Canis lupus familiaris: one gene and its partners. The protein of the gene in region 1 binds, or shares a complex with, the protein of each later gene. Links are inferred from orthologs where the notes say so. Each region holds a gene or a part of one and is shown on either strand. Other genes may lie near its edges. The genes, in order: PLXNB1, SEMA4D and ARHGEF12.

Region 1 (3,648 bases):
ATGTTAATTCTTAGATGCCAAAGCCCTCTGGTGTGCCATAAAGAATTTCCTCCAACGCAAGAAGGTCTCTGTCAACCTTGGGAGTGGGAAGAACACGTGATTTAGTAGGGCAGGGAGGGAGCAGCCGGTCAGTTGGAGGGGCCCTTGGTGCAGCCTGGCACCCCAGCCTGCCCTGTGCCCACAGCTTCGTGTGTATCACTGAGGCCAGTGATGGGGAGGTGGCTGGGGCAGTGACGGTGGAGGTGCCAGGAAGAGGACGCGGTGTCTCAGAGCACGATTTTGCCTACCAGGTGAAGTAGCTTTCCTCAGTGCATCTAGTTTTGCCTTCCTGGGCTTTCCTACTCTAAGGCCTTCTTGTCTGCCCCAGGCTACTCCTGCCTCTCTGTTGGTGGCTTCATGTTTGGCTGTCTCTCCCTGTTCCACTTCCCACAGGACCCAAAGGTGCATTCCATCTTCCCGACCCGGGGCCCCAGAGCCGGGGGCACCCACCTTACCCTGCACGGCTCCAAGCTCCTGACTGGGCGGCTGGAGGACATCAGAGTAGTCATTGGAGATCAGCCTTGTCACCTGTGAGGGCTGCTTCCTCATTCTGCCAAAATCCATGTGCTCTAGGAAGAAGACAGAGGGGTGGGATGCTGGGGAGAACAGAGAGGGGAGAGGGCCAGGTCTACTCTGTCGGAAAGAGGCCAGACCCTTTCTAAGCTGGGGCTGTCATGGGAATGTGGCCTCCAAGCTCACCTATGGAGCTTTCAGTCAGCTGAGGGAAGTAAGCTGAGGTCTGAGTGGGTCCTGTGGCCCAGAATCTTCTGTTTCCCCTTCCTGGCCCTGCCTTCCATTCGTCCCTCCCTGCCCTAGGCTCCTGGAGCAGCAGGCTGAGCAGCTGCGGTGTGAGACCAGCCCATACCCTGTACCTGCCACACTCCCTGTGGCCGTGTGGTTTGGGGCCACTGAGCGGAGGCTTCTGTATAGCCAATTCGAGTACACGTCAAACCCCAATGTCACCTCTGCTGGCCCTGCCAAGAGCTTCCTCAGGTGCTGGGCCAAGGGCATGGCTGCATGACATGTACTGGGGCTGCAGCTCTAGGATGTGGGGAGGTTGCGGAGCTTTCTATGGAGGCTTGACTCCTATGGTACTGGGAGTGGGGGGCATGTGGCTTGGGGCTGGGCTAGCCTGGTTCTCCTAGCCACCCATGGGTCATGGTCTGTGTTGCAGTGGAGGACGTAAGGTATGGGTCCATGGCCAGAATTTGGATGCGGTCCAGACACCAAGAATCCGAGTGACTGTGGCCCCAAGAACCCTGCAGCCTTACCAGGGGCTTGGGCGGAGGCGCCGTGTGATCCCGGAAACCGCATGCTCCCCCGGTGGTTCCTGTGGCGGTCATCATGTAGGATATCCGTGGGCATCCCCCATGTGCACTGGGCTGGCCATCACCCACATCACCCCACATGCCACCCTGTGCACAGCCATGGTTGGCGGGTACCAAAGAGGCTATCCTTCAGTCTTTGCGTGACCTCCTTCCTACATGGCTCTCAACTGATCCTCCCCCGTTTTTCCTCCCTCTGCCCCAGTTTGAGGAGCCGTGCCATGTGAATTCCTCTCAGCTCATCATGTGCCACACGCCTGCCCTCCCAGGCCTGCCTGAGGACCCCTGGGTCCAGGTGGAATTTATCCTTGATAATCTGGTCTTTGACTTCGCAATGCTGAACCCCACACCCTTCTCCTATGAGGCCGACCCCACTCTGCAGCCCCTCAACCCCGAGGATCCCACCATGCCGTTCCGGCACAAGCCCGGGAGTGTGCTGTCTGTGGAGGTACTGTTCCTGCTCACACGTGGTGGGGCCACATGACCCTTCACTTTGCTGGGCACTACTGCTGTGTGTAGGGGCATGACAGCAGAGCAAGGACCTGTGCATGGACCTGGCTCCTTACCCTTAATGTGGTGAGGGCTAAGGGACCAGTGGTGGGCTGCCCAGCCTGACACATCTGCCCGGGGCTTGGGTCCTGTAGCCTGGGTCCCAGCACACTCTGTGGCAGGAGTCTGAATGGCTGCATGTAGATGGTTTGGCACACGTAGTAGCTGGGTGGCACGGTACACAGTAGGCGCCTGGGCTAATGCCCATTTGGCAGCTTGACTCAATGTGGACAAACAGTTGGCATGGATTCTGACACATATAGTAGGTGGGCATTCTGAAACCCATCATCATGCACCGGGTGGGCCAGCAGACACAGCAGGGGATCTGGCTTTGTGAGGTAACTGGGCGGGATTCGGGGGCAACTATAACTGTCTGGATTTTTAGCTCTGGAGAAGTAAAAGTGTGAGGCAGGAGGATGGGAAGGGCAGAGGAGGGTCAGGGGACAGCTTGGAAGATACCCATGGACTGTCACCTCTCATGCAGGGGAAGAGGTGCTGAGGCACCATCAGCCCTGCCCCTAGGGATGGGTGTCAGGACCATCCTTCCCACATTTAGGGGGAAAGGATCTGAGTGACCACCAGCAACTCCCCTTAGGGAAGAGTTCTGAGTGATCCATCAGTGACCTCGTGTTCCAGGGGGAGAATCTGGACCTTGCAATGTCTAAGGAGGAGGTGGTGGCCATGATAGGGGATGGCCTCTGCGTGGTGAAGACGCTGACCCGTCACCACCTATACTGTGAGCCCCCCATGGAGCAGCCCCTGCCCCAGCACCATGCCCTTCGAGAGGCACCGGACGCCTTGCCTGAGTTCACGGTCAGTAGGTGGGCTGTGGGCTGGGCCAGGCACTGGGCACGTGCTGAAACCTTACTCACAGGTGCCTTCCTGTGTAGGTGCAGATGGGAAACCTGCGCTTTTCCCTGGGCCATGTGCAGTATGATGGCGAGAGCCCTGTGGCTTTTCCCATGGCAGCCCAGGTGGGCTTGGGGGTGGGCACCTCTCTTCTGGCTCTGGGTGTCATCATCATTGTCCTCATATACAGGTGGGTGCAGCTGGATGTGGCTGGGCTGAGGCTGGATGGGAAGGGGAGACTAGGCCAGGGGTCAATAAACACATTGCCTGTAAAGTCCCAGAGGGTACCAATTTTAGGCTTTGTGGGCTGAGTGGCCTCAGTGGCTCAGCTCTGCTGTTAAGCATGCAGAAGCAGCTATAGACGATATGTAAACACACGAATGTGGCCGTGTGCCAACAAATCTTTGCAGAAACAGGCCGTGGGCCGGATTTGGCCTGGTTGTAGTTCCTTGATTTCTAGGCTAACCCCGGGGCTAGCCTGCGGAGAGGGTGTGACTTGCCCAGGACAGGACAGTCTAAATTATTTTTGGGCTAAGTCTTGGCTTGGCTGGGCATGGCCATGTTGGACGGTATCAGCCTGGTCCAGGGTGAGGCTGGGGTAGATAGGCCTGGGCCAGGGGCACCAGAAAGGGCTCTGGCCTTGTCTGGCCTCCCCCTTCCTAACCTTGGTGCTGAGCAGGAGGAAGAGCAAGCAGGCCCTGAGGGACTATAAGAAGGTCCAGATCCAGCTGGAGAATCTGGAGAGCAGTGTGCGGGACCGCTGCAAGAAGGAGTTCACAGGTGAGGCCGCCGGCAATGGGCCTGAGCACCCTCCGGGGCTCTGCCTAAGGCTGTTCCCACAGTGTGGGATCCACACCCAAACCTGGCCTCCTCTGCTCAACAGACC
Region 2 (2,699 bases), on another chromosome or scaffold:
ATTGGATGGGGTTGAGGGTTTGGGGACGTGACGTGAGCGAGGACAGTGCTGGCCAGCGAGGCCGGGCAGGGGTGAGGCCCCAGTGCCCATGGGCAGACATACTGTGAAGCCGTGGACCTGCACTCCACCCTATGGTGACGGATGCTTGCTCGTGGGGGAGACCTCAAGGCTGCTGGGTGTCAGTCCCTCCTGCCCACGGGCTTCTGCACCTGCCAATGGTCTCAGCCACCCCCCGCCACTGTTTGCCTGTTTCCTTCTCTCAGAATCTGTTACTCCGTGGCTCTGGGTCACGGAAGCCCAGCCCTGGGGACGGGGGTGCAGGGACATGAGCGCCCCATCCCCCCATGCCCACAGCCACACACTCAGGTCTGGTGTCAGCTGGGGCTTCCGGGCAGTCTGTGCCCTCCAGGGTCCCTCAAGGTTGCCTGCTTGGCCTTCCCAGGAACCCTCTCCTCTGCAAGCCACGTGACCCCGAGAGGGGTCTGGGGTGGCATCCTCAGTCCTTTCAGCAACCATGTGGCCTCCTCTGCCTGGGCCCCACCAACAGGGATGGGCTAGCCCCCAGGCCTGGCTCTCTCTGCCCCTTCTGACCAGAGGACAGTCTGCTGTGGAGGGGACTTCTTGGCTATACTCACACAGGGTGCGTCACAGGCCAGGAGCGCCAGCTGGACGCTGCTGTTAATTCCCTGTCTCCCCCCGGGGAAGGCTGCAACTCGTTTGGGTCTGAAACACTGACTTCTGCTGGGTTCTGTTAACCCTGAGGTTAACCAGAAGATCTGTGTGGGGTCGGGGGAGACGGGCTCACCGGCGGAGGAGACCGTGGACACACATGCAGAATTGCAGCCCTGCAGCATGGCTGTGCCAGGAGGGGTCCCCGCTGTGTCCAGGGGAGCAATTAGCCACCTGGGGGGCCTGGCTCTCTGAGGGGCCAGCCGTCAGCCTCCCTGTCTGCGTGCTCCTCCCTCGCAAACCTGGCTGGTCCCTTAATCCTCGTGCTGGAGTTCTGCATGTCCCCCACCACTCTCTGGCGCCTCCTTTCCTGGCCCCGCTGGATTCGGACACTACTGGGCTGTCCGTGCACAGCTGCTCAAGCCAGGCAGGCCTGGGATTGGGCTCCGAGTTGTACCCTTTGGCCTCTGTCCTGTCGCGGGGCCAGGAGTGTCCCACTGGAGGAGCCCCATCCACACAGAGGAGCTGACCCCCAGCCCTAGTGGGGCAGAGACACGTCCACACTGGCACCCAGACGGGAGGGCTGGGGGGTTCTGGGGGGGCCTGTGACCAAGGCCCCGAGTGCCGAGTTAGCGAGGACTCTGCTGAAGAGCACGCGGCCTCTGCGGGCTTGAGGTGCTGCTGTTGGGATTGGCCTTGGAGTAGCCCGGCTGAGCTCCGGTTCTGGAAGCTCCTGGATGAGGGATCGCGGGAACGTGCTTGCCACAGCCGGCGAGGTGGAGAAGCACCTGCCACCAAGCGCATGAATGCCACCCCTCATGCGCCTGTCCCCTCTGTCTCCCCCGTGCAGGGCAAGAGATTTGTGTACGCGGGTTCCAGCTCGGGTGTGGTGCAGGCCCCCGTGGCCTTCTGCGGGAAGCACGGGAGCTGCGAGGACTGCGTGCTGGCCCGCGACCCCTACTGCGCCTGGAGCCGTGCCGCCGAGGCCTGCGTGGACCTGCACCGGACAGACAGCCCCAGCAGGTACCGGGGGCGCGCGTGCCGGCCACCCGCCCTGCCCGCGGGGAAGGCGCGTGAGTGACCGTGCCCGCTTGCCTTGCAGGACTTTGGTTCAGCAGATGAGCGGTGACACGTCCGTCTGCCCCAGTAAGTGGCCCCTCCTCGCTGTGCTGCTCGGGGGCGGCCGGGTCTCGTGATCGTGTCGTGGTGCTGTGCTGTTGTGGCATCTCGTACATTCTTTTTTCCTTTCTCTACTTGGAACAGAGGGCACGTATCCATGAGGATACAGAGGCCGACCCCGCCAGCCCCTCTGGTTGCAGCCACGTAGTGCGTTCACTGGAAGGTGCTCGGCGTCCAACCTGTGACATCCAGTCTTGAGACGCTCCTCTCTCCCGCTTAGCTTGGGGCTGCTGACACAACCCTGAGGGTCCCGGGAGGGGCAGCGGGAGGCGTCCTCGTCCCCTCGGCGATGCCCCTGCCGGCCGGGGGGTCAGGCACATCCCTTGGTCTCCTGGAAGGCAGCCGTGCCCTGGGCTGTCACGCTCCTGATGTGGACTCGACAGCGGGGCAGCCTCAGGAGGATGCTGGGCCACTGAGAGTCCACGGGCCCCGGAGCCGTTGGCAGGAGCGCGGCGTGTGACTCCGCGTGTCGCCGCACGGCCTCGCAGGGCACCAGATGGGATCTCTGTACCCGGTTGCTCCCGAGTTCCTCATCCCCTGGGGCTGCCATCTGGGGCTCATCTCTGCTCTTCTGTCACGCATGTCTTTATCTCCTTAGTTGTTCTGGAAGATTCTGTGTTGCTCTAGTGGGTGAAACTCTTGTGTTCTCTTGTGCGTGTTGACCTATCTTTGAAAGAAGGGAAGTAGCGGGCCGGGTTGTTGACACTGTGCACGTTTATTTTGGTGTTCCAGATGAAACTAAAAGTTTCCGGGAGCATTTTTTCAAGCACGGCGGCACAGCAGAACTGAAATGCTCCCAAAAGTCGAACCTGGCCCGGGTGGTGTGGACGTTCCGGGACCGCGTACTCAAG
Region 3 (3,648 bases), on another chromosome or scaffold:
GTTTGTTAAATAGCTGATGTGAGAACTGCATAAACCAAAAGACTTAAAGTTTCTTTGCATTTTAATAAGTAATGTATAGACTACATTCTTCCAGGTAAACCTAATGGATCAGTTTACCTGGACTCTGCAAACCAGGGACTGAAATGCTATGATGTTCCACTTTTAACTTTGGAGCTGCTTCTTCATCGTTGTCTCCTCTGTACAAGAAAGAAAACAATCTTTCAGCTTCAAGAGATGCCCAAACATCACTGCAGTGAAAGGTAAGGATCATCCGTTCCTTTCCTGATCAAAACACAGAGTCAGTCCTACTACAACGCAAATGCACACTCACTCGCAAGGTGGTGACTGTGGCAATGGGATTGGCTTTGCGGACTGTTCCTTCACTGATGCAGCCATCCGACAGATTAGGTCTTGCCAGCTGCAGGAAGTGTGAAAAGGATCCAAAATCCAAAAGGGAAAGGAAAAAAAAATGCCCTTTAAATATACACTCAGAAAGAAATAATAACAAAAACAAACCAGAAACCAAACCAAGCCAATCCAACAAAAAAACTCTATTTCCACCAGAGAGTGTCTTTATTTTGGCAACATTAGGTAGAGATGATAAAAAACACTGGACCTTCAAGAAAAACCTAAGCAAACAATGTTATGGATACAGCACGCATTAAAAACCTTTGCTTGATGCTTCTGAGAATTGTTCTTTAGAAAAGATACTTTCAATAGCATAGCGCTAAAACAAGGGACATCAATCTTGAGAGGACCACGTTCTTAGACAGTATCTCTTAAAAAATATAGAGGAAGTGGTTTTTTCAATATAGTTTTTGGTTCCCGAAGTATTACAAAAACCAAGTTTATAGAATGTTATATTCTATATATCTATAACAAAAACTATTAGAGCAAGGTAGCTGTATCTAATACATACACAGTCTTTTCAGAAACAGTCTGTGCCACCAGTTCATAAATCTGGGCTCCATTGTCTGACATGGAGATGACAAATAAAGCTTTGTTATCTGGAAGAAACAAGACAAAAATTACTCTCACAACATGGATATGACCTACAGAAGCCGTGAAGGATACTTCTCGGGTCCTGGTTTATTCTGCATCTTAATCTGGGTAAAGGTTAATGTGCTCACTTTGTAAAAATTCATCAAGCTATAAAGTTAAAATTTGTGTAACTTATCATATGTTACATTGTCTATGTTATACTCCAATAAAACAAAGATCCTAAAAACTAGCCCGGGTTCCACATAGAAACAAGGAGGTGTACATACATCTGAATTACTCAACACGATGACATTTTTGCATTTATTTTGAATTGCCCTGTTGCTAAATTGTTAATTAATGAAATTTAGTAAATGATGAAGAAAAGAGGTCGTCAGCTTATCTTGCCACTATGGAACTGACAAGTTTGAAAAGGGATCCCACTGTTACTACGGTTAATGTATAATTTGCTAACTTAAACTGATTTCAAAAAACCCAAACTACACCCACCTCTCTGTTTTTGTTTGCTCTTTTACCACAAATCAAAAAGCATACCACTCTCATGTAACTCTTTTCATTGGGATTATCCCTCAATTCACCATCTTCCGTGGTAGTCTGTCAATGATGTGAACATGGACTAAAGATTAAAGCGGTATGCAGGAAATTTTCAAGAGCAGAAAATTGCTCAGAGAATCTAGGCACCCCAAAGAATTTGGGGGTAGAAACTCTTTAAGTAGTAACCAAATTTCATTTCATTTGTTTAAGAATGAAACAGAAACTCTCTACCAGCTGGGCTGTTTAAACAATACCAAGGATCTCATGCAACTTTATGATGAACCTGAAAGCTACTGTCACTCTGTGGACATACTTGCCTGTTGCCACTTGTCGAACCAACACTGTATTCAACTTAATGACAGGGCTAAATGTGTGTTTGCTGTCAGCCGTGGATGCCAGAATCTTACTATGACATCTTAACACCAGTCTATCATCCTGCTTTTGTAACAATACAAGAATGTCTTCCAGCAGCAATGTGTATAGATCTGGAAACCAAAATGTAGAGAAGGTGATTAGTGTAGAAACTGAGATGTGTTTTATAAACTTTGTAACAATTTGACAGAGAAAATTTATTTCTGTTAAAGCTAATACATTTAAAAAATTGACTTGCTATTGTCTTTTTTAGTTCCATTTTTTAATAATTCATTTTTATATTGTATCGCACCAAAGCGTCAGTCGGTGACTGACAAGAAATTAAAAAAAAGCCACCATGATTCCTCAGCATAGATAGTTTGAAATGGAGTGGTTTAAAGAAAGCTTATTAGAGAGCTCATTAGAATACAAGAATGATGGAGACATGACTGAATCATGACAAATTTTTCTGCTTTTCCCCCTCAGTGAACATTTAATGTACTTCACCTATAAAGAAATACCATAAGCAGATCTGCAAATATAACACAGGGCAGCACTGCTCACTGCTGTTGCCAAAATCTGTGAACGGTTGTTTCTTCTCTTTGGCCCAAAGGAACTTTAATTTCTCCACTCTCCGTAAAACTGACAGACACGATACCTACCAATAGTTTTATCTCGATTCACCTTCCAGACCAATGGCCCTTCATGAATCATCTTCCTTTTCGTTAAATCCAAATTCTGCCAAAATAAAGAGAATTACACACAAATTATTTCCAAGCTCTGAGACGATATGCCATAGAGTCTCTTTTCAATAAATTCTTTATATAAAAGATACCATTTACCTTCACTATCATTATTGGTATTTGCGAACTGCTGAACATGGAATAAAGATCAAGTTACAGTAAGCTGCATACAATTTCCTAAAAAATTAGAGGTATCTTGAAAAACATTCAGAGGACTGCCTTCCAAGTCTCACAATAAATATATGATAATTGCTTATGAAAATGAAGTTGCAAGCATTCAGCCACTGGATTTGCAGCCCATCTAATTATTCTATGAATAGCTAGATGAGGATGATGCATAGTTTATCTATCTGTAAGAGGCCTGTGAGTGCCAGGCTCTAGTTCCAAACAAAGTTCTAAGGAACAGTACTCATGAAAAAGTCCAAGTAGTACTTGATCTTGCTCTAAATATTAATAATTTATTTTATCAAAAGATTCATTCGTTCGTTCATTCATTCATTCATTCATTCATTCATTTAAGGGAGGGAAGGGTAGAGGGAGAGAGAGAATTCCAAGCATACTCCCTGCTGAGCATGGAGCCCAATGTGGGACCCTGAGATCATGGCCTGAGCTGAAAATCGAGAGTCGGACACTTAACCAACTGAGCCACCCAGGCACTCCTACTAAATATTAATAATTTAGTAAGAAAATCAGCCCTTAGTATAGGTAGCTCTAGAAAAATCTCATCCTCTGGAAGTGAAGGCTAAGCGTATTAAGCGTGCTTTTTGATAAGCTGCTCTCTGTGATACAAGTCTAGTCTACCAGCCACCAAATACAATTTGCAAAAGCAACCCCCTACTGAAAGAGCACAAGAAAGAAAATCCTAAGCAGTTCCTTAATACAAAAGCCTCATGTAATAGAAATGGCAATTACAAAATTTTTTACTATCATTCCCATAATGATTTCAACACTCATGCTTTTGAAGAGTTTCATGAAAAAATTATCTTGTTTTACTCAATAATCTGTTAAGTTCCCAGAGTGA

What was found.
Region 2: the proteins of PLXNB1 (region 1) and SEMA4D are in contact, whole or in part, in a crystal structure (PDB 3OL2), measured with the Homo sapiens proteins. The link is inferred for Canis lupus familiaris from reciprocal best matches to the Homo sapiens genes PLXNB1 and SEMA4D. Residues at the interface, in NP_001123554.1 of Homo sapiens: Leu80, Pro81, Pro82, Glu87, Arg136, Pro137, Gly138, Asp139, Thr140, Tyr142, Gly178, Glu202, Lys205, Ala207, Gly209, Arg210, Ser212, Glu213, Arg235, Arg242, Asp359, Val360, Asn361, Ser362, Leu367, Pro368, Thr371, Tyr375, Ser379, Asp380; in NP_001358123.1 of Homo sapiens: Glu99, Lys100, Gly101, Phe158, Tyr179, Phe181, Leu182, Gly183, Ser184, Arg198, Tyr201, Ile203, Glu208, Val240, Leu264, Arg265, Thr266, Leu267, Gln268, Lys270, Thr347, Gln350, Ser351, His352, Thr353, Asp388, Gln392, Lys395.
Region 3: the proteins of PLXNB1 (region 1) and ARHGEF12 are in contact, whole or in part, in an NMR structure (PDB 2OS6), measured with the Homo sapiens proteins. The link is inferred for Canis lupus familiaris from reciprocal best matches to the Homo sapiens genes PLXNB1 and ARHGEF12. Residues at the interface, in NP_001123554.1 of Homo sapiens: Glu2129, Lys2131, Val2132, Thr2133, Asp2134, Leu2135; in NP_056128.1 of Homo sapiens: Phe82, Gly83, Leu84, Thr85, Val86, Ser87, Gly88, Asp89, His127, Val131, Lys135.

What each region holds. Positions count from the first base shown.
Region 1 is NC_049241.1:41,080,491-41,084,138, forward strand, and holds part of PLXNB1 (plexin-B1), read left to right. Parts: intron 1-184; coding exon 185-290; intron 291-432; coding exon 433-569; intron 570-855; coding exon 856-1,032; intron 1,033-1,213; coding exon 1,214-1,385; intron 1,386-1,569; coding exon 1,570-1,812; intron 1,813-2,549; coding exon 2,550-2,726; intron 2,727-2,803; coding exon 2,804-2,952; intron 2,953-3,441; coding exon 3,442-3,542; intron 3,543-3,645; coding exon 3,646-3,648. UniProt on the Homo sapiens protein: Receptor for SEMA4D. Plays a role in GABAergic synapse development. Mediates SEMA4A- and SEMA4D-dependent inhibitory synapse development. Plays a role in RHOA activation and subsequent changes of the actin cytoskeleton.
Region 2 is NC_049222.1:97,582,641-97,585,339, forward strand, and holds part of SEMA4D (semaphorin-4D), read left to right. Parts: intron 1-1,519; coding exon 1,520-1,692; intron 1,693-1,771; coding exon 1,772-1,815; intron 1,816-2,580; coding exon 2,581-2,699. UniProt on the Homo sapiens protein: Cell surface receptor for PLXNB1 and PLXNB2 that plays an important role in cell-cell signaling. Regulates GABAergic synapse development. Promotes the development of inhibitory synapses in a PLXNB1-dependent manner.
Region 3 is NC_049226.1:13,554,661-13,558,308, forward strand, and holds part of ARHGEF12 (rho guanine nucleotide exchange factor 12), read right to left. Parts: intron 2,623-3,648; coding exon 2,547-2,622; intron 2,019-2,546; coding exon 1,851-2,018; intron 1,008-1,850; coding exon 920-1,007; intron 419-919; coding exon 332-418; intron 198-331; coding exon 118-197; intron 1-117. UniProt on the Homo sapiens protein: May play a role in the regulation of RhoA GTPase by guanine nucleotide-binding alpha-12 (GNA12) and alpha-13 (GNA13). Acts as guanine nucleotide exchange factor (GEF) for RhoA GTPase and may act as GTPase-activating protein (GAP) for GNA12 and GNA13.